2 linked regions of the Alligator mississippiensis genome follow. The protein of the gene in region 1 interacts with the protein of each later gene in a biochemical or structural test. Links are inferred from orthologs where the notes say so. Each region holds a gene or a part of one and is shown in the gene's direction. Other genes may lie near its edges.

Region 1 (11,537 bases):
GAGATCCTAGGCTGAGGGCCGCACCCCTGCTACACAGGAAGGCAAACCCCCCAGGCTGTACCAGTCTGACCATGGGGTAACATTTTTTCCTGACCCTGAGTATCAGTCTGACCCTGAGCAAAGGGTCAAAAAACCCTCTAGCCAAGAGCCTCTGGCTTTGGTCCCAACAGGAGCATATGCACCCCCCAAAGTCCCCCCAAGCTCGGCTGTAGCCAACACCCAATGCCCAAGTCTTAAACCCCTCTGACACATGAAGCAGAAGGGGGTGGGGGAGCGACTAGTGAAGCCCAGAAATGTGGGAAATACTTAATGGTTCTAAAGTCACGATGCCTTTAAAGAAGCTTCTGTTTTCATTTGTCTTCTGAGTCCTTGGAGGTTCCCGTTGGTCTCATTCCTGATGTGTTCTGCAGCCACAAAAGTTGGAAGTATTTTAATGGAAACTGTGAGTCTCATGGCATTATAGGACTGGCAGCTGAGGCTTTGGGAGAAACATTAAATTATGTGGGAGTTGTCAAAAAACTCTCAAGAATTGACAGTGGGGGGTGATATTTGTTTTTGGGGCATCCATAGCACTTCAGTGTATGCAGTACAGCAGTGATCCTCAGTGCATCTGCCTGTGGGGTGACAAAGGATGTTGCACGTGAGTGGTAGGAAAGAAAAGTTTAACTAGGGCCATTAGGTTACTAATCCGGTTTGAACTCTCAGCGCTCTGGGATTTTTAATGACTCTAAATAGTCAGGTCTTTGTACTCTCATCTGAAAGAGATTAGGCCACTTCCAGCTGCATAATTTCCTCCATTCTCTCCACCTGGTTCAGGGCTGACTCATGAGAAATAACAAATTGCATCACACCCTGCTCTCTGCTAGGTGTTCTTGCATGGCTTCTGTTCAAGTACTAACACAACCCTATTTGAACAGTGAGAGGTAACCATACCATAGCACATTAAAAGGGTAAAGGTGCAACATATTAATGAGATACTTATGTTGTCGGATGGTAATTAAATGTGTGCCCATTAGTGATCATGTTTGGCAACATGTGGGGCATTTTCTGTGTTTCTGCAAGTTTAAATTCCATAGCAGCTGAGTTTGGTCCAGTTTGGCAAGATGTAGACTTTGGTCCAGTCTGGCAAGATCATCAAATTCCACTGAGAGTCAATTCAGCACATAGAAATCTAAATCCCTGTTGAGTTCCAGATCAAACTGGATTAGGAGGAAGGGGTTGTGGTGAATACATCAGCCCAAATCCACAGAAATATTTAGGCTCCCATTCAAATCAGAGAGAGCTAGATACCTATGCAAGACTTAATTGCCTAAATATCTATTGTGAATCTAGCCCTGTGGTTTATCTGTGATTAGAGCTAATGATTTACTTCCTAAGGTAAAAGAAATTTATTCCAGCATAAGCAAGACAAAAAATTAAGTGCTCTTTTAAATAATGCAGGATGTAGCTACTCAGTCACAACAGAAAGCAATTATTGAATCATTATACAATTATTTTATAAACTGATTTAATATCTACTTATCTTGAAAACCACAGAATAAGAGCTGCATTACCCCTTTCTAAAAGGTCAATATTTATTCCAGAGCCAGAGCAGTCTTGAAGGTAAATGAAGGGGAAAATAGAATCACATTTTGCTACTACAAGACACTCAAAACATATGTGAGTAATAACATAATGAATAAAATGTGGACAATCTTCAGTCCTGGGGCTAATGTCAGAAACCAAATAGATTCTGTTTGCCGACACCAATTACTTACACTCTGCTGCTTTAGCTATTTTTAAAAGCATTTGTTTGCTTTCAGTAACATGGGAACATTTACCTCTTGGTCCTCTTAAAATCAGCCTGGGTCTAACCAACTCCAATTTCCTTTACATTCTGCCTGAAGGGAGTTGATTTTTAACCTAGAAGTCTGCACTTTTTCCACTATATGAACCATAATAGGTTTGTTCTTCTACAGCAATCAATCACTTTTTAAGTTCTTAGCTGTGGGTGAGTGTGCTTTATGGCTGAATCAAAGCTGAGTGTTTTGCCAGAACAATGCTGAGTGTTTCTCAGAAACACAGTTGTTCTCTCTGCAGCTTCAGTGCACTGTTTCATATACAGCAAGAGACTCCCATCTGATAGAGCATTTAGCGAGCATGGTATTCTGGAAGCCTGCATCATTTTCATCAGCAGCAATGCAGAAATGAAATCTAACTTACATGATCCAGGTATCAGGAACCATGTTTGACATGATAAAAGCTCATACTGAATTGGAAATATTAAACTTTTGCAACTTAGTCTTGTTGCAGCTGGTTTACAAATTGAAATGGGAGACCATCTCTCCCCTTGGGTGTACACGTGTAATAGGGGTATGACAAGCACAATTGTGATAAAAGAAAATAATTCTTCTGTCATTGGCAGTGCGTTTATGGCTTTGATTTTCTAATACAGCTAGTTTCATGACAACTGTCACTTGGCACAGTAATGGAAGCAGTTGGCTTCACATATACAGAATGTTTTCTTCTTTTATTTTTCCTAATTTACATTCCACACCACCCCCCTTCTCTCTAACTTCGTCCCAACCAAATGTTAAAAAAAGGTTAAGTTAAAACTCATAGAGTGGAATAGAGAACTGGGAAAATAGCTCTGTAATGCAAAACATGTATTGCAGTGACTCTTGGAAGAAGAGAGGCTTCTTTCTTAGATGAAAGGTATATAATTTTTCTATTCATTCAGTCTAAAAAGTTCTCTTCAGTACACAAAGTTTTCTGAATTACTTTGGTCAGTCCTGCATGGCAGAGCTGAAATGGTGTGTGTATAACTGATGGGCAGGAGTACAAGGGAACCTGATTCTGTATTCATAGATTTCATAGACACTAGGGCTGGAAGGGACCCCGGAGGATCATCGAGTCCAGCCCCTTGCCCCAGGAGTAGGAAATCAGCAGGGATCATAGGATCCCAGCAAGATAAACGTTCAAATGTCTCTTGAAGGCATTCAAAGTATTAACAGGGCTGTTGCATGACCGACTCTTGCCTGGTAGGATGAAGGCAGCCACAGTGTAGCTCCTTGGACACTCATTGTTCCCTGTGCCACTACCTCTTTTTTTTTTTTTATCCTGTACTGTATAAGGATGCAGGTATGCAAAGGATTTGCCTCTTATTCTCGCCCTTGAAACAGAACTACTTTGGACCTGATTCAAATCTCATTGAAGACAATGGGACTCTTTAGACTAGCTTTCAGGTCAGCTTTCTATACTTAGCACTAGCACCCACATATAGCTTCTGCTCACACCTGGAGTGCAGCACCTTATGCTTCCTGCTGAACAGTGCAAAAGGACTTACAAAATCAAATCCTAAAGCATAAGGTGACTTGCTGTGAATAGTAGCCAATATCTAGTATTTCAGGGGAAAATGAAACCTCAGTCAGTATTCAGCATGGGGAAATTAGGCAACTAAGCCAGGAGGTATGAGATTTGGAGATTCATATTTTAGCAGCACCACAGATATTTTCTGGCTTGTAAAATCAAGATAGAGTTTCAGTCCCTGTTGCTGAAAAATAAAGCAATTTATTAGTGGTAAGACACATGCACAGCTAGGTGAAAAGGAGCTCTCAAAGAGTAGTTATCAATGATTTGTGGATGCAGGGAAAGCAGTTGGCATGATATAACTTGACTTCAGCAAGGCTTTTGATACCATCTCACACAGCATTCTTGCAAGCAAGCTAAGGAAGTATGAGCTGGATAAATGCACTGTAAGGTAGATAGAAAGCTGGCTTGATCGTCAGGCTTAACAGGTAGTGATCAATGATTCAATGTCTAGTTAGAAGTCAGTATCAAGTGGAGTGCCCCAGGGGTCGGTCCTGGGTCTAGTCTTGTTCAGTATCTTCATTAACGATCTGGAAGATGGAATGGATTACACCCTCAGCAAGTTCACAGCTGACACCAAGCTGGGGGTAGTAATAGGGTAGGTCTAGGATTTAGAGTGACCTAGACACATTGAAAGACTGGGCCAAAAGAAATCTCATGAGGTTCAACAGGGACAAATGCAAAGTCCTGCACTTCGGTGTTACCAGATTTGCCCATCACTTTGGGGTGTGCGCATTTATTAGGGATACGTTTCTAGGGTCTTTGTAATTTAATTAATATGCTGCTTCTGTTACTTGTGTTTCTATACAGAGCTGTATCTTTCCCTTCTGCAGGTCCTCACCCCCAATGGAGCTATCTTGTAGGACTCAGTTTCAAGGGTTCCTCCAGCCACCAAATTCATCAAATACACACACTAACGTGACACGCCTGACCCGGCCAGGTTGATCAGCATGTACAAGCTGACACCCTCATATACCAGGAATCAGTTCATTAAGGTAACAATAAAGTGCAGGCAGACACAAGCACACAGGTGAACAGAATACCTCTGAATCCGGCTGGGTGGCCAGCTGACACCCTCATGGGCCAGCATTCAGTTCATTAGGGCACATCTGAGCCAAACTGGGTCAATCAGCCTATACAAGCTGATCCCCTTATGTGTCTTAAACTCAGCACATCCCAATCTTTTGCCCTTACTTTCCTAGCACTGATAGCCTCTTGATGAGCAGTGTTGCTGCAGAGCAAGTGGGGAAGGGGAAGCAGAGAAGAAAAAATACATCCAGTTACCACTAGTTTGACTATAAAAGTTATTTATTGCTAAGTATATGAAATTTATGACGGTACTAGTAGTAATAGACATACAAGGAAAAATGAACAAAAATGATTACAATATTACCCTGTTTTAATTGAGTATTTGGGGAAACCTAGCTCAAGCTTGACTAATAAAATTCAGGTTCAGAAAGCTATGCCTAGAGAGAAAAAGAAAGAGAGAGCGAGCGCGAGCTGGGATCTCACCGTTCCAAGGCACTTGGGCGGTTTGTTGACAGGCAAAGTTCCTAGCACAATAGTTGAAAGTTAAACAGGCGACCGAGAGATGATCTGTTTCTCCCAGCTTCTCAAGAGCAATAGCGGATGGTGTCAGAGAGATTATTCTCTCTTGAAGCACACTGCTGCTTTACAGCTTTCTTGTACCCTTATAGTCCAGCTTCTTCAAAGCATTTGTTTAATTGTGTAAATCAAGAGGGTCCCAAGCCATCATTGACAGGGAAAATCCTGTTATATAAGCAGTTTCAGTTTAGATGAATTACCTTTTTCAGTGACAAGGGATTATCTGGTTTGGAACATCTCCAGAAACTGATTAACAACCAGGAAAAACATAAAGTTTTAAGGAGTAACCAGACACGTAGGAGCCAGCTTGAAATTATTATGAATATAGAAGATATACTGGAAGGGATACCACATTGTTTCTTCTCAAATGGCCTAGCTATGCTTGTACTGTGAAGTCAGCATCAGTGTTTTGTATTTTACCTGTTGTGAATAAGCCTCAGCTTCACATGACTTTCAGATCTTACTGTAGTCTTTTAACGTACTTAAGGGGATTACTTGGAGAGTTTATAAACTTTGTGGGGAGGACTTGCACCAGTCATCTCAGGAAAAGTATGACAGCATTTGTGCTCAGGGCTCCAGTGGGCTGGACCCTGTGAGGAACCCTTAACCATTGTTCAAATGTTGCCTGTACCCTCTCTGACTCGGTTTCTTGCCTCAGCATTCCCTAACCCGGCAACCAAGTTTTAGTCAATTAAGTTTAAATAGACCTCCCATACTGGGACCTGGGAATGTACGGCCAGAGATGCCTATTCAACTTTTCTTCTGCTTAGTTTTGGTTAGATGAGGGGTGGGGGGGGGGAATACAAAAAGTCCTTTGTAAGTCCAGCAAGCTGGGTGCAAGGGCTCCCTCAGGAACACAGAGCTGACAGGTAACATAGGACACAACAATCCCATGCATCGCTACAGGCTTGGGACTGACTGGCTAAGCAGTGGCTCTACAGAAAAGGACCTGGGGGTTGAAATTATGGAGCAATTGGCGGTGCATAAAAGCATAAAACTCATGACAAACCATCCACTTAACACCAACAGCCCATCTCAGCCCCCCCAAAAGAGACAGGATAGGAGGCTGGGGCTGCAGCAGTCGCTGAACCCAGCCAGCTCCACACCGCCCTCCAACACGGAAGCCCCGCCCCCTCCAGCGGCGCTGGGCGGAGCCAACTATTTTGCTTCCCCCCCCCCGCGAGGCCCAGAGGCGTGGGGAGGAGCTACACTTCGCGCATGCGCGTGGCCCTGTACGGGGGCGTAGCCGCGCCGGCGCCTGCGGGCCACCGTCGGCGGTGGGAGTGGCATGCGGAAGTGCTTCGCGGAAGTCAGGCGGCGGAACATGGCGGGGGCGGACAACGGCTCCCGCTACCCGGCCGCGGCGGCGCCGCAAGACCCGCTATCGCGTTTTCTCTGCCCCGTGTGCCTGGAGGTCTACGAGAGCCCCGTGCGGGCGCCCTGCGGACACGTGTGAGCGGGGCGGGCGCTGTACGAGCGGGCGGGGGGAGCGATCCACCGGGGCGGGGGCCGGGCAGCCCTGTGCGAGCCGGTCGCGCCCTCTCGTCCAGTGAAACCCGTCGCCCAGGGGTGTCCCCCCCACCCCGGGCCCGTTTACCCCGCGGTGTACCCCCCCCTGCCCCGCAGGACCTGCCCGAGCCCGGCGGGGTGTGCCGGTGCAGGAAGGGGTGGGTTTTGTTGCCAGTTAAGTTTCGGGTTCCTGTCATGAGAGAGCCCCTGTGTTTGCACGGCAGCGCGCCCTGCCCTTTGCCGTCCTCGGCTTTTGTTGCTCGCGTGGGATGTTTCTGAAGCCCCAAACCTTCCAGCAGGAAACACTTTGGCCATAAATTGGCCGGAGCACCAAGGGACGGGGCCGCACCTAACATTCACGATAGCTGTTTTGTTCTTGAAACGTAGCCCTCGATACCAGTTTGTCCCTTTTGAGTGTGACATAGGTAGGGTGAAGGTTTTTGATGTGCGTTGTCCCTTGTGACTTCCCTTTCGTTATTGGCCAAATTTAAGGTATATCCGTGAGGGTCTCGTTGGGAACGGTGCAGGCGTTTTCTACAGCATGCGTTTTTAGAAACCTTGTATTTCTTCCCTATTAGTTTTTGCGCTCCATGCCTGCAGGAATGTCTTAAGCCGAAAAAGCCAGTGTGTGGAGTCTGCCGTAGTACCCTGTCTCCTGGCAGCACAGCTCTGGATCTGGAAAAACAAATTGAAATGACAGAAACTGCTTGCAGTGGCTGCAATAAAAAAGTATGAAAGCATTTAAAAACTTCAGTACGCAATTCCCTATTTAGCCACACCTGGAAAATAACATTTTTCTTTTCAGCCTTCTGGAGAGTCAGCCATCAAGATTTTAATGTTGTTAAATAATGCAGAGAAATAATGCTTGGTAGCACACCAATGTCCTCTCCTCCTCCCCACCCCAGCCGTGTCTTCTGTTTCTTCCTTTGAGAGGTGAACTTCAGTTTGTTAGCTGATTACTTGCCCCTTTATTTGAAGTATGCAGCAAACATGCAATGTAAAGATGTCATGGGAACTTGTGCGCGCACATTTCTGCAGGGAGAATGCTGTTTTATAAATGCAACGTTTGTCCCGGGAGAAATCAAGTGAAACCTGTCTGGAGAGTCTGTTGGACTGATTACTGACAGAAGCACCTTTCTGATAGAGTTATTTGAAATTGTATTCAGTATATTTGGGGTAGTTTGCTATGGTGGTGCTGCCTGGTATCTGGTAAAAGTCATGTCTTCTCCAGCTTCTGCTGTACAGATAAGAGTCTAATGCTGTGGAAATATGTAAAATGTAGACATAAATGTTATCCTTCCATGATATTATTAATACAGAGCCCAGACTTCAGACGTTGCAGCGTAGAAATTATAGAGCACTGCTGTTACGATGGCAGTGCTGTAAAAATAACAAACATTGATTATCTCCTGATTACTCTGCTACGTGACCAATTGACTTTTTGATAGTCAGCATAGCTTAATAGCTAACATAGAACTAGCTTCCACCAGATAAAGCTAAAGCTAATTAGTTAAAAATCCTTAACGTGATAGGGTTCCTTCTAGATATACCTTATACAAATTCCTACCAACTAAAACTTTTTTTTTTTTAATTGTATGGCTTGCCTTTCATGCTGCATTTCCTGTAACTTGGGTCTAGCCAGTTTCACTTTCGTTTCTAGGCAGTTTTGTTTTCTGACTCTTGGGTACTAGAAAAAATGCAAGTATTCAAATTTGTAAAAAGGTTGATTTGTCATAAAAGAAAAAACTGTAGCCTCCATATTTTACTGTCTGAATAAAATATAAACCCTCCAGATTTACCACTGTTTTCTACCAGAGTCTGCCACACACATTTGTCAGAGTTCTGGAAAGCATCAGTATTCAAATACCTTCAATTCTTATTTAGTTATAGACCTCTTACTAGGTTTCTTTCTCAGTTTGACACTTGTCTTATCAGAATGAATAGAGAAACGAGTTGCTAAATTTAATAAAATCTTCTTATATACTCTTTGCAATTAATCAGAATAACATTAGCAGTAGAGGTACACTGATGCATTGGCTCCCTTACTGCAGAGACCTCAACTGTCTCCCCACCACACCCCTTCCTTCCTCCCTGCTTCCCCCCCCCCACCCCGAGCAGACTTACCAGCCAGACGCTGCTCTCCATGTTGGTGGGCTTCATATTAGCAGTCGGATCAACATTGGCCCAATATGGCTCATTAATAATTGGCCATCAGTATCACCCCCAAAAATCTTTATTGGTGCACCCCTGATTAGTAGGACATATCAATACTAACATTTTGTTTAACAAGGAATCATTGTACCCTATGAGAGGAAGAAATGGTTACAATGTAAGCTTGTGATCATAAGTATTTTTCTAGCACGCTTAATTTACATCTGGCCTAATACTCTGTTGTGTTTACTTTTATACAATATATTGGCTAATGATTCAGTAGCTTGTCTCTATTTGAGCCCATAACAGGGAAGAATGGCAGGCAGAGCTGGAACGTTGGCTTGGTTTAGTACAAAGTAGAAATTAGTTTATTTTCCTTTTGATGTAGAGGGGAAAAAAAGCAAGAATTATGGTACTCGGGTGAACAGGGAGTCTAAACATTATATTATATCATAATGTATCACAAGTAGCATGTTAACCTAGTGAGTAGCTTCTGTTCAGAACAGACTGCCTTGTGCCACAACATTCAGTTTTCCTTATTTTAATGTTCTCTGAACAGAATGTTTTCTGATTCCTGTGATTTGTAGTTCCTGTACTTAACCTTAATAACCTTCACATTCTGTCTCTTGTTTGCGTAGATGTACCTTTCAAAGTTACGCAGTCATGCAGCTTCTTGTTCAAAATACCAGAACTATATAATGGAAGGTGTGAAAGCTGTAACTAAAGAACCACCTTGTAACACCAGGTATTTCTGTTTCCAGTCATTTACAGGGAGGTGGTTGGGTAAAGATTTTTGATGGTGGAAGTTTTAGTTAATGCCAAAACTTGCTTTCCTGATTTGTTTTTATACGTTTTGGTGCATTTGGTGTGTTGCAGGCACTTTCTTGTGCAGCATGTGAAAGTACAAGCAAAGACTGTTAGATCTTCATTTAGTCTAGGGGGAGTAGTTCTTTTAATGCTGTATTACAATTAAACTAGGCTCTAATACAGAAATGATATCGCCCAGGTGCACTGCTCTACTGACTTAAATTGCCCATGCACAAACTATTACAAGATCAGGGTCCTGGGTAAGGCTATCTACGTTTTATTTTAGTTTTAAACTTGTTATTCTGTCTCTGATTAATTACTGAAATGAAATGAGAAATGACTACATTGAACTGGTCACCCATATTGTAGACTGTCTGGCAAACTTTCATATTCTTCACAAAAATGGTGCAGACCAGGAAAGCAAGCTGAACTTGATATTTTTGTAAGGGAATAACTGTAATTGCCAGATGTATTAACTTTGCCCTTTGAGATGTCATTTCTTCACTGATAGAAAAAACAAGTTCTTAAATTCAGCTTGCTCATATATCACACAATAAGTGGTGACCCTAAGTGCTCTTTATTTAAATATTCTCTCTCAAATTACCATGAGTAGCCAGTCTCTCATTAGGTATTAACTTTCTAAAATGTAAACACAATCTTTTTTTTTTTTTTTTCCCCCAGGAATGTTCCAAATCGCTTTACCTTTCCTTGTCCTTACTGCAGTGAGAGAAACCTTGATCAGGAAGGACTAGTTGAACATTGCAAAAAGTACCACATCATGGATGCAAAACAAGTGGTAATGCTTACAGTATCAGATTCAGTATAATGCTGGTGTTGCAGAAATATGCCAGCAGCCTGAAGCTAGTTTTAGCATTAGGTCCCTCGGTGATTTCTGCTCGGGGACCTTAGACACTTAAGTGTATGCCTGATTTTAAACTGCAGGTATTCCTTTTGAGTTAAATAGGACTATCCTTGTGAATAAAATTGTGTGTATACAAAAATGTTAATGTTTGGATATTACTCTTGTTTTGAAGATCTGGGCAAATTCAAAACACGCTTCTCGAGGAGTCTGTGGGGAGGTAGACAAGTTTTCAGAAAGATATCAAAGCATCTTTTAAGTGCCTATGCTCGCATTTAAAAAAACGTGCACTAAACTAGCCATCTTAACCTCTTGAAGCTACAAGTAATGTTGGAATGAAATTTTGACATCCAAGCCTTTTATGTACCATTCCCTAAATCCTGAGCAAAAGTATATAACACTGTCTGATGTGTAAACTTTTTAATATTGTTACAAGCATTTACACAGATCTTTACCTACAGATATGGCAGTAAGTAGAATAAAAACAGCAAAACTTGAATTTGGCTCTAACAATTAATAATTGGGGTGTAGTTTTGAAAAACTTCTCTAGTTTTAATTTACAAAATCACAGTCTCTTTTTCTATGAAGACATCAATATGTTCTACAGGAGTGTTGGTGTGCAGATATTTTATAATCTGTAGAAATGAAGGTTTCTAAAAGTATTTTAGAAAGCAAACTTAGTTCAGTATTTTGCCCTCCACGAGAGGGAGGCTCAAACTACCAGTCTTACTTCAAAGTCACAAACTTCTGAATTATGTTAATTCAGTATCTGAGGAACCAATTGGTTTATGTAGTGTTCTGTGGCTTGACAAAACACTCTCAATTCATTTTGCATACAAAGTGAAATTCTGGTTATATGAACTGTGTTCATAAGCTTCACAATCGTATAGAAGCATTTTTTCTGTTTCTTTGGCACTTTCCTCTCTCAATGTTTTTTAAATTGGTTACTTAGAGGCAAAGACCCTGGACTTCAGGAGGGAAATATGCGTGCTAAAAATTGCCATGAAATAAGAAAGGCCTCTAAAGAGGTCTCTAGTTCTGAGGGTGTGCTTCCCAGCTGAACATGAAGGGAATTCAACATTGGCTTTTGTGGCTTTTTTGAAAGGTTTGCCCAATTTGTGCCTCAATGCCATGGGGAGATCCCAACTACAGGAGTGCCAATTTCATGGATCATCTTCAGAGGCGGCATCGGTTTTCCTATGATACTTTTGTGGTATGTAATTCCTTATAAAACTCTTAGAATATAGCAGAATGATTG
Region 2 (12,087 bases), on another chromosome or scaffold:
GCTGTTGCAAAGAGCTCAGAAAGACCCCAACAGGTCTGCGTGCTTTTGGCACTATGGGTTCCCGTTTGAAAAGCTTGGGGTTTGTCCTGTGAATCATGTCTGTGCGCTGCACCGTGCTAAAATTGTGTGGCATCCCACAGCACCCTTGAAACGATCTCAAGGCACCCCAGGGTACCATGCCACCTCAGTGAAGAATCACTGATTTAGGGGCAGAGCCTTACTTGCATGGGGGAGTTTCACTTGAGAAAAGACCAAAGGTCTGATCCTGTGCTGCTTTGTACCTCACCTAGGACTGAACACCTGTGCCAAGCAGGGGCGAAATGGCATGGGGATATGGGGAAGTCTGGCTTGGTGGCACTTTTATGCTCCAGGCTTGTCTTGCAAACGCTAGCGCCAAGCAGTGGGGAACCGGGGCTTGAGGATTTGACCCTGAAAAGTCTTATGGCATCCGTGCGGCTCCTCACACAAGTGAAGGTTTGCGTCCCCTGGATAGGAGTTTTTTTGCCTACGGTTTGCAGGCTTTGGCCTCCAAGGACTAGGCACTGCAGTAAAAGAGTCCCCAAACAAGCTGTTCCGATTTGACCGTTCTGCTTGTAAAAGCAGTGAATGCCCACTGAGAAAAGGGGGAAAAAAAATAAAGGGAATAGCAGGCTAGAGCTGTACAGGCTCCAAATCCGAGCAGCAATCCTTCTGGGTAACTTAGGCCAGATAGATACCACCCAGGTTGAGACGCTAAACCAGCTATAGCCTGCATTGCCACATCCTGTCTCCAGCAAAGAAGTGCTACCTGTCAGCAGCAGAAAACGTGCAAAACTCTTGTTTAAGAAACTGCCCCGTGGTAGCTCCTTAGCAAAGCTGTTCTGAGGTTTGCTGCCTCTTTTAGTTACCAACACTAACACAGTTCATTGTCTTGGTGCTTCAGTGGCAAAGGAGCAATTATGAATAAAAGGAAATAAAAAGCAAAAGCAAAGCTGCGGGGGAACAGCTGAACTAAGCAGACACAGGGAGGCTCTCGCTCGAGAAGCCCGATTGTAGGACTGGCATCCAGGAACTCCCCGTTCTGACGCCAAATGGCTTTAAACAAGTCATTAAACCAGCCTGGGCCTCAAGCTTCCCAGTTTGCAAAGTGAGAAAGGGGTAGTATTTCAACAGGAGAGTGTGGGGGGTTATTCTTAACCCCTCCTCCATGTGCCCTACAAAATACAACCACCCCAATTCCATGGAAAGTAACTCAAAACCCCAAGCATTGGAGATTGGGGTTTCTTGAGTAACTGAGTCATGGAAAATCAGAGCAAAAAAGGTGTGAGATATGAAAAAAAGGACAAAGGGAGCAACCATCCTCTGGCTATCTGAACGGGAAGTGATTTACCTGAACGGGGCGACACGGGCAATGCGCCTTTAACAGGCGAAGGGAAGGAATCCTGGGGCTGGGAGGTTCCCGGGGTTTCCAGCAGCAGTTGGGCTTGGGCAGTTGCACGGAAAATACTGAAAAAAAAATTAACAGCGGGATCTTTTGGGGGAAGACACCCTTTGGGAGGAAAAAGGAGGCAAAGGCAGGGAGCCAAAAACCAATAAAATAAAATAAAAGGACACCAGCAGGGTTCCACGGTGCACATCAATTTAAGAGGCAGCAGGAGAAGTTTATCCCAGCACAGATGCAGGGCAAAGGCATTAGCGTGCTACCTGAACCATGCCCTCAGATGCACCAGAGTGACGGACAACCTGACGATTTGCTGATGTGCAGCACTTTGGCAATGAAAATAAGAGAGCCCGATGGGGAGGTGAGAACGAGACCTTCAAACAGGCTTGCTGTGCTGAGCCGGGTGTAAAGGGAGCGGGGAGCATAAGTGAATGAACTGCAGGGGAGGAGAGGGGTTTACAATGCAGCCCATGCCAGAGAACTGTGCTGGGAAGCTTGAACTTGATCCGGCAGAAAGGAGGCCAGAGGAACATGTTTGATTTGGCAAGGCCCCTCTGCTCCCCATCCCCCACGGGCTGTGTATAGCCCGGAGATGCATTGGTGCGCTGTGAGGTTGTCAGCTCATTCACGTAACTGGCCCGGAAATCTTCCCGAGCAGCCTGCCAAGGGAGTGGGGAGCCCTGGCTGCCTGCTTGCTTGCTACCCAGCTGACAGGCAGACTACAGGAATCATAAGGAGCTGCTGAGAAACGCTCCTGCTTACAAAGACCCGGCACCAGGAATTTGGGAGGTTTCAAAACAGGCCTTCAAACAAAAACCTCCCACCTGCTGAATTTCACTGCAGGCTAATTGAGCCTTTACAAAAAAAATATCATTGCCTTCAGGCAGCACCACGGACAACAGCGGGAGCAGAGCAGTGTTTCCAAAAAACCCCGAGGCTGCAGCCTTTAACTGGTTTGAAGTGGCAGGTAGAATTGGCTTGGGGCTGCAGGTACCATTTAGGAGCTGCAGCCAGTGACCGTCCTCGTCCCTTCTGCTGGACAGCAGCTTTCGTAGGATACTTCTCAATCAGTACGTTGCTTGAAGTTGGTCAGTACCATTATCCCCATTTTACAGATGGAGACACTGAAGTACAGGGAGGGGATGCGATGGGGTTTCAAAGCACACTTATGAGTCAAGCTTCATGGTAGTCCTAGGATTGTTATTGCCATTTCAGAGATGGGTAAACCAAAACCAAGAACATCTATAAAGATCTTCCCCTTGAGAGAACTTGGGCAAGGACTCAGATCTCCTGACTCCCGAGATCCCATCCCCTTATTTTATGGGCATAAAAATGAAAGTCAGTTCGACTTGAGCAGTCATTGTAGATGTGTCAACAATCGTGTTGGATGTTGCAGCGAAATAATTAGCAGCAGCTGATATGTTTGTAGTGTCTGAATTAAGTAACCCGTGCATCATCAGAAGAAAAGTCTCTTTGAAAGGGAAGAGTTTCAAAACCACCCTAACGCCAGAGAATAATTAGGGAATAAAGGCTATTTAGTGTAACCTAGCTCATTTCCAAGAAACTACTTTTTAGGTATATCTTGCTGAACCACTGCTTCCACCGGCTAATGTTATCTCTAGACAAGAGTGGGCTTTGGCAGGGAGGTAGCAAGTAGCATTTAGAGGCAGAAATGATTTCCACCCAGCCCCTACTTTCAGTCCAAACAGCGAGCGACCACACAAGAACAAACTCTGCAAACAGGATGTCATTGTGCCAACACAGCCAGATTAACCTATGCAGCTGCTAGCTCCACTCCAAACGTACTTGTGCTTCAATTTGTTTTAAAGCAATTAAAATGTTGCAGCAGCACTAGTGCAGCATTTGGAGGTACAGAAACAATGGAAATAACAAAGGACTGCAAAATCTCTGATACTTGACAATGAAAAAGAAAAAAAAAGGCCGTCCCTGAAACTTCCTAGGTTTTGGCAGAAAAGGAACATACTATCCCGTCGCGTGAGATTTACATTTAAAAAACAACCCGTTCAGAACTTACCTTTGTGATGCTTGACTTGATCGGTCACCTAAAACAGATCTGAAACCATTATGTTATGCACTAGGAGGTTTACACAAGGCTTAAAAGTAAAAGAATGATTACTAGAGTTCACGGGACATCACTTGTTCCTTACCTTGTTGTTTCTCCTTACTGAGAACATTTTACAGCCTCTGCCAGTCCACTGTGTTCCTTTAGGAGTATCCTTCAGCAAGGTCCCCAATGCAGCATCTGATATTTTTCCAAGTAGAGCTTTTGAGCCTCTTAACTTCAAGTTCTTTTGGTACAATCCCTGTGCCCAACAACTGGCTATACAAAAGCTCTCATTATGAACCTCAAGTCAATGGGGGTTTCCTCTGTCACGGTGCCATGCTGATCAGACTTTTGAGCCCCAGGGTGGTACTTCCAGTACAGTTTAATTGAAGCCCCAGGGAATTTCAAATACTGTACAGCAGAAAGACCGGGGGGAAAAGAAGTATTTGATTGGTAATTGGCAATAGACTGTCTGCCTGCCTGCGACCCATTCCTTCTTGATGACTGCCATCTCATTTACATATTTTTTCAAAAGCCTTTTCTCTGCCTTGTTACATAATTTGTGTTGCAAAATGCAAACAAACACTAATTATTTCCAAGTCTGGACAATCGGTTACTCGTTTCTTCTTGTTATTTGGAAGGGGATAGGAAGGACAAAGAGAAGAAGGCATTTGGACGGGCAGAAAATTAACCAGAGAGATTTGAAGTCTGATTTGGTAAGGAGAGTGTTTTGTACTTGTGTCCTGTGTAGCATGAGGAGGGATCCCACAAACATTAAAATACACGATGTCTTCTAGCACCCGAGGGAACGAATAGTATCATCCCCATTTTACAGAGGGAAAGGTCAAGGCTTACATTTCCAAAATGCCCACTAGTTTGGGGCATCCAACCTGAGACACTAGGGACCCGATTCCTCATTACCCTGCACCTTCTTCTGGGTCTTTCTCCATTCCTCATCACTGAGAAAGTGGGGCTTTTTATACCAGTGAAAAGTGAACCTAGTTTTCAGAAGCACTAAGCACATACCGGCCCCCTGGCTTCGATTCAGCTAGTCAAGCAAGGGAGAAGTGAAAGTCTCTGCAGGAAAGAGACTGTTGCCATTAATTAGAAAAGGGATGTCTGATATATTCATGTCAAAAGAGTCATTTGCAATGAAACAATAACCACAAGGCTGCACAAAGACAAGAGCAGAACTCCAGATTATTGCAATTATTGCATAGACAAGCCATTCCCCTGGCTTGTCTAGCAGTCTGCCTGTCCATCCTTAGGACGGGAGTCCCTCAGAGCAGAGGCCATCACATCTTTTATGTCTAGAAAACAACTAGCAGATCATGGTTGCTAAACCAAACACTAAATACTAAATACGGTCCTTTCAGTGGACAGAATGCTTTCATACATATTTCACATTAGAGTTCGGTCTATTCATACAGAGCTTACAAAGAAGTATTCAGTTATTAAATCAACAGTTGTAGAATTCAACAAATCAATAAGTCGTTTAAAATCATCTGTGTTGCCGTCTTGTGCTGTGGTTATAGCCATCGATGACGCATCCTGTCCGTCACAAGCTTATAACCCGTGTCAATGTGCTCTTTATACACCGTGTATAAATGGTACCTTAATATAAGTACTAATTTGTTTCCATTATCAGCGCTGAGGGGATCTTGCTTTCTCATTCACCAATATGGGCTTTTCAAGCCTTTGATTCCCTACAGTGTCCTGAAGATAACCATAGCAGGAGAGAAATGGGAGAGGAATGCAATAGGCAGGAATGCCATTACTATCCCATCACTTACCCCTTGTCCCTACCCCCAGAAAACTTACAGCTTAAAAGTCCTTTATTATTCATCCAAATTTTATTGGATCCATGGTCAAAAAGGCACATCCTACCCCACGCGTGTATTCCTGCTCCCAGAACAGAGCCACAGCCCAGTCAGCCTGCTCCTCCAGGAAAAAAAGGGAATATGTCGTTTGCCAGAAATGTCAAGGCACAAACTGTGCTGGGCCAAGGCTAAGCGATGATTTCCACTGTCAACAATTTACCTTGCCATCCCCTCCTCCTTTCAAACTAGGGACATCTGCAAGCAGAAGCGGCCCCCTCTCGCCCTGGCCATCACCGGTCCTAGGGTAGGGCAAAGAGGCGTTTCGATGCCTCCACGTTAAACGTTGGGTCTTGTTCACAACTCAGATCACTTGAAAGGGGCTGAGGGTTACTAGAGAACCCAAACCCCAGTGTGATTTTGGTGAGCTGGAAGTGAGATTCAGGGTCTGGCTCTATGGCAAGGCAGCGTTGCTGTTAGGGCACGGCACCGATCTGCAGCTCCGATCTATCCTATCCCACGCTCGACTTCAGCCTCGATGGGGGACCCCCGGCAGCGCGCTCGTCGTGCCTCCGTTTCCAGTGGGGTGATACAGTGCCCAAATGTCAATGGGAAACTTGTCTTGGAAATTAGGCTGTATGCCTTTTTCTGATTGGCTGAGTGAACAATGGCCTCTGTCACATGGTCACAGACAAGTCAGCTGTAAAAACAACTGAGGCTCTTGCTTGGGGAGGCAGACGCCATGGGAGATGTCTAAGGAGGAGGTAGTTTTTCCCAGGCCCAGGAGCTATAGGTAACCTTCCCTGCGAGTCAGAAGACCAAGGCCTGCTCTGCGCGATTCAGGGCCAAAGTAACTCGGGGCAGGTTAACCGATCCATTTTTTTTTTTTTAGTTTTGAATGATGCTTTCTCTTTCTCTCTCTCTTTCTTCAGCAAATCTGTTTCCAATTCAGCCTCATCTCCCCTTCTGTTCTGGACTCCCACCCTAGGTCCTATTCGTGAGGTCAAAACCTTATGAATGGAAAGAAACTGGCTGAGCTTTTGTAAGGAAAAGGTCATTAAGGTTTACTATGAGGGCTAAGCTCCCTCTAAAACACCCTAGACGCAGAGCTTTTTCTTTTTGGTCATCTTACTTTCTTTCTTATTTCTTTACCCAGAGCCGAAGTAATACCGTAGACGTTCACATCATATCAAATCTAGATGCTGCCTCTCCTAGGGCAGTGTTTCTCAACCTTTTAAGTAGCAAGTACCCCCTAACTTCTGAAAATTTCAATAAGTACCCCAACATGGGGATTTTATAATGGACATTAGTTGGACTTCTTCCAACTAATGTGTGCCATATGTGGGAAGAAGGGCTGTGTATATAAGGCCATGATATGACAGAAGTCTGATCTGGTGTGGGTAGGGTTGCCAACTTTTACACCAGGGTTGCACAACTCAAGTATGGACTTGGGCTAGAGGTGATGTTGGCCAAAGCTAGGAGGGCTGAACACAAAATTATTACTGGGGAATTTATTTTTTTTTAATTGCACCAATTTTTTTGCCATAGATTTAAGGGTGAGAGAGAGAGGAAAAGAGGGCAAGAGAGATTGTGTCGGGGTACCCACATACCCCCTGCCTGTGTCTCACATACTCCCAGTGGTACACGTACCACAGGTTGAGAAACTATGTCCTAGGGGACTAGATGCTGCGTCTGCCTGGGGCACAGACCGAACGAGCCGAAAGATTTATTCCACGTCCTGCAACAGGGATCCTACAAAGTTTGCCTAGCAGAGCTCAGGGAGACAGAAATGAAAGGGAGATGGAGGGATTTCGAACTCCCTCTTGTGGTCTCCCAGGAAGGCACTCTGCCTCGCATGGAGGCGTCTGTTTAAGGCTTTACCTGCTCATTTGTGTCTTCAGGAAGCAATCATGATCAGCTAAGGAGGGAAGAAAATCTATGGCAATAGAAAGGAAGGAGAGGAAAGGGCCAGATCCAACATTTGACAGTTCATAAATTGCCTAGAGGCAGCTTTGTTATTAAAACCAAGCAGGTGAAATATCCCTCGTCCCCTAACAGCCTCAAGCAGCTACAGAAAAGAGTCCTGCCTGCTAGACAAAGCATATTCAAACTCATTTGAGCCAGAGGAAAGAGTAGGGCAAAACTATCTTCCACCTCCCCGGGTCATCTGGACGCTACGTTTCTTGATTGAAGCTGTTGTGGGAAGGAGCCGAGACAGTAACTGGACAATGCCGCTCCCTGTTGGTTCCCACTCTCCTGCTTTGCATGGAGAAAAAAAAATTGGCCGAGCCCTTGTCTGGGGTTGGTTATTGGGACTGGCAGTTTCAGTTTCATTTTTCTCTTGTCAGATTAAAGAAGTGAAAAAGAAAGAGGGGCAGAGCCCGAGAGCAGCCATGGAAGACGAGAGCAAGTTCTGCCCAAACTGGTAAGAAATCCCTACTTTTTGCCAAGTGCCAGTGATACCCGAGGGGCACAGGGGCTTTGCTGATCTCCTTTTCGGGGTGGGTATTGCACGCTTCTCTCCCTGAACAGAGAAAGCCAAGGGGAGGCCAAGGAAACAAATCGGAACAGCTGATTGCTTTGTGTTGCCCTTTAACATCTAAGGATTTTGAAGACAATTTCTTTTCCCTGACTGACGGCTAGATCCCCCAGGCAAGATCAAGCAGTGCTTCTCTGCTGCCTGCTGTGTCCCTTGCCCTGCTGCTTAGGACCTAAAAGATTCGGCAGAGAGGGGCAGCTTGGGTCAGCAGTGCTGCGTGTCCAGCACCCAGGACAAGCGGCTTCAAAGAGGGGAAAGAGAGCTCCATAATTATGGACTAACCTGCCCACCGGGGAGGTGTGCCCTAAAAAGGCGGGGGCTGCATCGGGGTCAGCAAAACGCGGGCCAGATGCGGCCCGCCAGGCCACTCTATCCAGCCTGCAGGGCCTCTAAAAAGTTTAAAAAATTTATATTTATCTGCCCTGGCTGCCTGTCATGCGGCCCTCGATGGCTTGCCAAAACTCAGTAAGCAGCCCTCCGCCCGAAATAATTGCCCACCCCTGGGCTACATGCAGTCTGTTATTCCCATCAGTGATGAAGCTGTGGGTGTTTTCCTGCAGTCTGGAACACAACCCAGTACGAACTCGGTCCCTGGCTCAGTTTCCCCTTATGTCCAATGGTTCTTTCTGGTGTCAAGGCAACTTAGCTCTCCAGCTATAAGCCAAAAAGGTCACTATTGTGGGGAGCAAATTGTCCGTCCCTCTGTTCTCCCTTTAATATCTGGGGTCCCTTCACAAAGCAATAGCTTAAAGAAACTAGCACCCAGCCTCTACTATAGACCTCCAGCCCTGGAGCCACTGAATACTGTCTGCGTTATCTCTGGAACGCTGCGAATCCAGATGTTGCTGGTCCCCTCTGATCATAGGGCACAATCCTGCTTTCCCACCAGTGTAACTCTGTTGGAGTTATTCCTGATTTGCACTGATGTAAAAGCACTCTCTCATTTTGGACCCACATCACCTGACGGGGCCCCTGTTCCCTTAAAGATGTCCTCAGCAAAAGAGTAAAGCCTCCATAACAGAGCTGAGTCTTGGAAGGCTTCATTTGAACAAGACACAAGTATAAAATACCTGATGTCAGTTTTCTGGGATCGGCCAGGTGAATCGTATCCAATCCCATAATATTCTTTCCCTTTCCGTGTCACACAGTAAACAAGATGTGTCTGCTGCCAATTTCTCTCTGCACGAGATCCACTGCCGACGGTTCCTCACTGTCTGCCCAGACTGCAAAGAGGCTGTTGTTCAAAAGGAAATGCGAGAGCATCAGGCAAATGCACACAAGCAAGTGAGAGCTCTTCACCTTCCAACAAGGACTCGGACTGTCAGTTCCTGCAGTTAGGAGATGCACGGAAATCATGCCGGGCTGTGCTGCTGCATGGCGAACAGCCACGAGCATCTGTATTTGTTGAGGAGAAGATGGGTCAGGGCCCGATGCAACACTATAGCTCTGTCCACAGCCCCCTTCTCCCCAAAGGGCAACTGTGCGCTCAAGTCAAGGGACTCCGTCAGAGAACCTGCTCTTTTGTATTTAAGTTAATCTCCAATAAACACAGGGAATAATCAGCTGGTAGCATGATTAACTCCTGCCCGAACAGGAAAATCCTACACATTGCTCAGTTCCTATAGGAACAAGGTTCCCTATTTGCTTTCCAAAGATGGAAATAGCAGGGAGTCCATCTTGGACGATTTCACCTACAGAGGTAGCAGGTTCATTAGATAACTTGAAATATTCTCTATAAGCTGTCAGGTATTTTCCTTTAAGTATGCTACTATTCTGTCACCCTTTTCATTCAGGTCAGGTGTAAGCTTTGTCACCAAAGCCTGCAGCAATACCAGCTGGAGAACCATGAGGTGAGTCCATTGCTCTGTGCGCGAGACCAGAATCCAACCTGGCTGATCTCTCTTAGAGACACCACAAAGAGATGTCTGCAAATTAGTGCCTTCCCCAACATGGAACAACCCAGAGTCAGCAATCTTAATATAGTGCCATTTGACCCAGGGTTTAATGTAATCCATCTTTTTATATTAAAACAAATGTATGCCCTGGTCATCAGACTGTCCCTCCACACCTCTTCCCACCCCATTTCTGCAGGGAGTTTCTTAGAGAGGACCTTTCACTTCATCGCTTCTGTGGAGTTCACCTTCACATGAAGTGCGACTGTAGGCATACCTGTGGCAGCTTTTATCTAGCTACTGTAACACCACCAACGACCATATGGCATCACTGGCTTCAGGTTGTGTAGTAGCCAAAGTGCATCCTCTAGGTTTCTGGTGGGCTTGTACTCTTGGTTGCTAGCCCAGGCCAAGGCCACTGCTTCTTCACTTCTAGTTTTACCTGCGTTCACTAAATATAAACCTAATACACTATGCCTACCTGCACCACACACCTGCGTTTTGGTATGTAGACACGGTCTTAGTGGAGGACATTCTTAAAACCAAGTTAGGCCTGTTGTGTGGGGGGGGGTTTCCACTCCTGGTGTAACACTTGCGACTGTTCACTTGCAGACCATGGAATGCAGCGAACGAGTTATGAAATGCAAGTTCTGCGAGCTAGAAATGCCCTCTGCTAAGCTGCAGGAGCACCTCGATTCCTGCGGTAGTCGAACTGAGAAGTGTTTCGGCTGTAACAAATACATCATGTACAAGGACCTGGACCAGCACAAAGACATCTGTCGTAGTGGTGATGGGCTCTCAAATCATGGTGAGATTCACTCTCAAATTAATAATGTGACTCCTCTAGAAACCTTGGTTCTTCTAAGCGCAGGTAGCCCAAATTCCTTGTCATCACCCACAGCATCACGTTACTACAGTATCCGTTAATCACATGGAAAATTCCCCACCTACACTCTCCGAGTCCCAGTAATGCAGGTTGCCTTGTGTAATGTGGCCCCTGCCACACATTACATATATTATACAATTAACTGTGGTTAATCGCACAATACATTTAGACTGGTCACTTGTGCAAAGTAAGAGCAGCCACAGGTGCAGGGTAATTATGCCATAAAAATCTCCATCCAGCTGTAAAAAAGAGCCAACCAGCTACAAAGCTAGTGCTTGAAAATGTGTAACAAGTTTATAGCTGGCATCTATCCAGCTTTCATTTGAACATGTGAAAGCGCCCTGCAATTAGTATCACAAAGGATTATTGCTCATCTTGACCAGTTGAAGGACCACATTTTATTCTGTATTACATCAGCGAGTATAAATCCAGAGTAATTTTGATTTGCTCTGGATATTTATAAGCATAATTGAGAAGCGCTGAGCCTTACTTACATAGCTTGGCTCCGACACATAACAGGATCTTAGTATGAGTATCACACCCACCTGCTTTTTAGTTTCAGGGGCTAGCATCCCCTTCCTTGTTCGCCCCCAGCTCACATGGATTTTAAGGAGAGTCTTGGGTGTGCACACACTGGGAAGACAGGGCCCTTGGTACATCAGGGCTCACTCCAATCCTATTCAACTGATCCCATCTTGAGTATAACAATCTAGTTCCTAATGCAAACTAGTGCAAGCGACTGAACAAGCACCTTTCCCAACCTGCTTTGGAAACGCACTACATACAAGCTGGAAGCCCAGCTCACACTGTCATTTGGGTTGGGCATATTTACCAACCTTGGCTGCTCATGTAATCGGGTTCACTTCTCTCCTGCTATCAGCCCTTTGTAACAGAGAGCCACCTTCTTCCAAAAGTCAGTATAATCAAAGGGTTAGACAAGACATCAGAGGCCGTCTAGTACAACCTTCCCCTGCCACAGATGTGGGATGCGTTGTTCCTAAACTAATTTAGGGGCAAACAAAGAATTGAACCCCTCTCTCAAATCTCAGCCAACAGCCCTCTCCATTAGATCACCCCTCCTGCCTAACCCTAACCCTTTCCCAGCGGCTTGGAGATGACCTTTCCATTAACACGAAGGAGTGTTTTCCGGGTTGTCTGGTTACAGAGGCACCGAAGAACAGCACAGCTGAGGAAGCCCGTCTTCCTACTGAAATACTAAAAACGAGGCACACAATAGAGGCGATATGTACTTGCACATTATTTCCATAACCAGTCAGTCCCACATTACCAATCAACCTCTCCCTCCTTTCTTCCCTGAAGGTCTCAGCGACAAACTTTGTCAGCAGTGCAATAAGTCATTCCCAGATGACCAGTTCTTCCAGCATCTGGTAAGTGACTGGAAAGCCAAATCGGGCTGGCCCTCATTTCTGACTGGGCTCTTTTTGTGGGAAGCGACGTGTTGGGTAGA

Evidence for each region.
Region 2: the proteins of RNF114 (region 1) and XAF1 form a complex in vitro, tested with the Homo sapiens proteins (2 studies listed by BioGRID). The link is inferred for Alligator mississippiensis from reciprocal best matches to the Homo sapiens genes RNF114 and XAF1.

Annotation. Positions count from the first base shown.
Region 1 is NC_081832.1:13,431,508-13,443,044, reverse strand, and holds the start of RNF114 (E3 ubiquitin-protein ligase RNF114), read left to right. Parts: upstream 1-6,241; coding exon 6,242-6,405; intron 6,406-7,040; coding exon 7,041-7,191; intron 7,192-9,251; coding exon 9,252-9,358; intron 9,359-10,101; coding exon 10,102-10,216; intron 10,217-11,384; coding exon 11,385-11,492; intron 11,493-11,537. UniProt on the Homo sapiens protein: E3 ubiquitin-protein ligase that promotes the ubiquitination of various substrates. In turn, participates in the regulation of many biological processes including cell cycle, apoptosis, osteoclastogenesis as well as innate or adaptive immunity.
Region 2 is NC_081837.1:9,461,533-9,473,619, forward strand, and holds the start of XAF1 (XIAP-associated factor 1), read left to right. Parts: upstream 1-7,357; 5' UTR 7,358-7,530; coding exon 7,531-7,727; intron 7,728-8,989; coding exon 8,990-9,125; intron 9,126-9,634; coding exon 9,635-9,691; intron 9,692-10,345; coding exon 10,346-10,541; intron 10,542-11,939; coding exon 11,940-12,007; intron 12,008-12,087. UniProt on the Homo sapiens protein: Seems to function as a negative regulator of members of the IAP (inhibitor of apoptosis protein) family. Inhibits anti-caspase activity of BIRC4. Induces cleavage and inactivation of BIRC4 independent of caspase activation.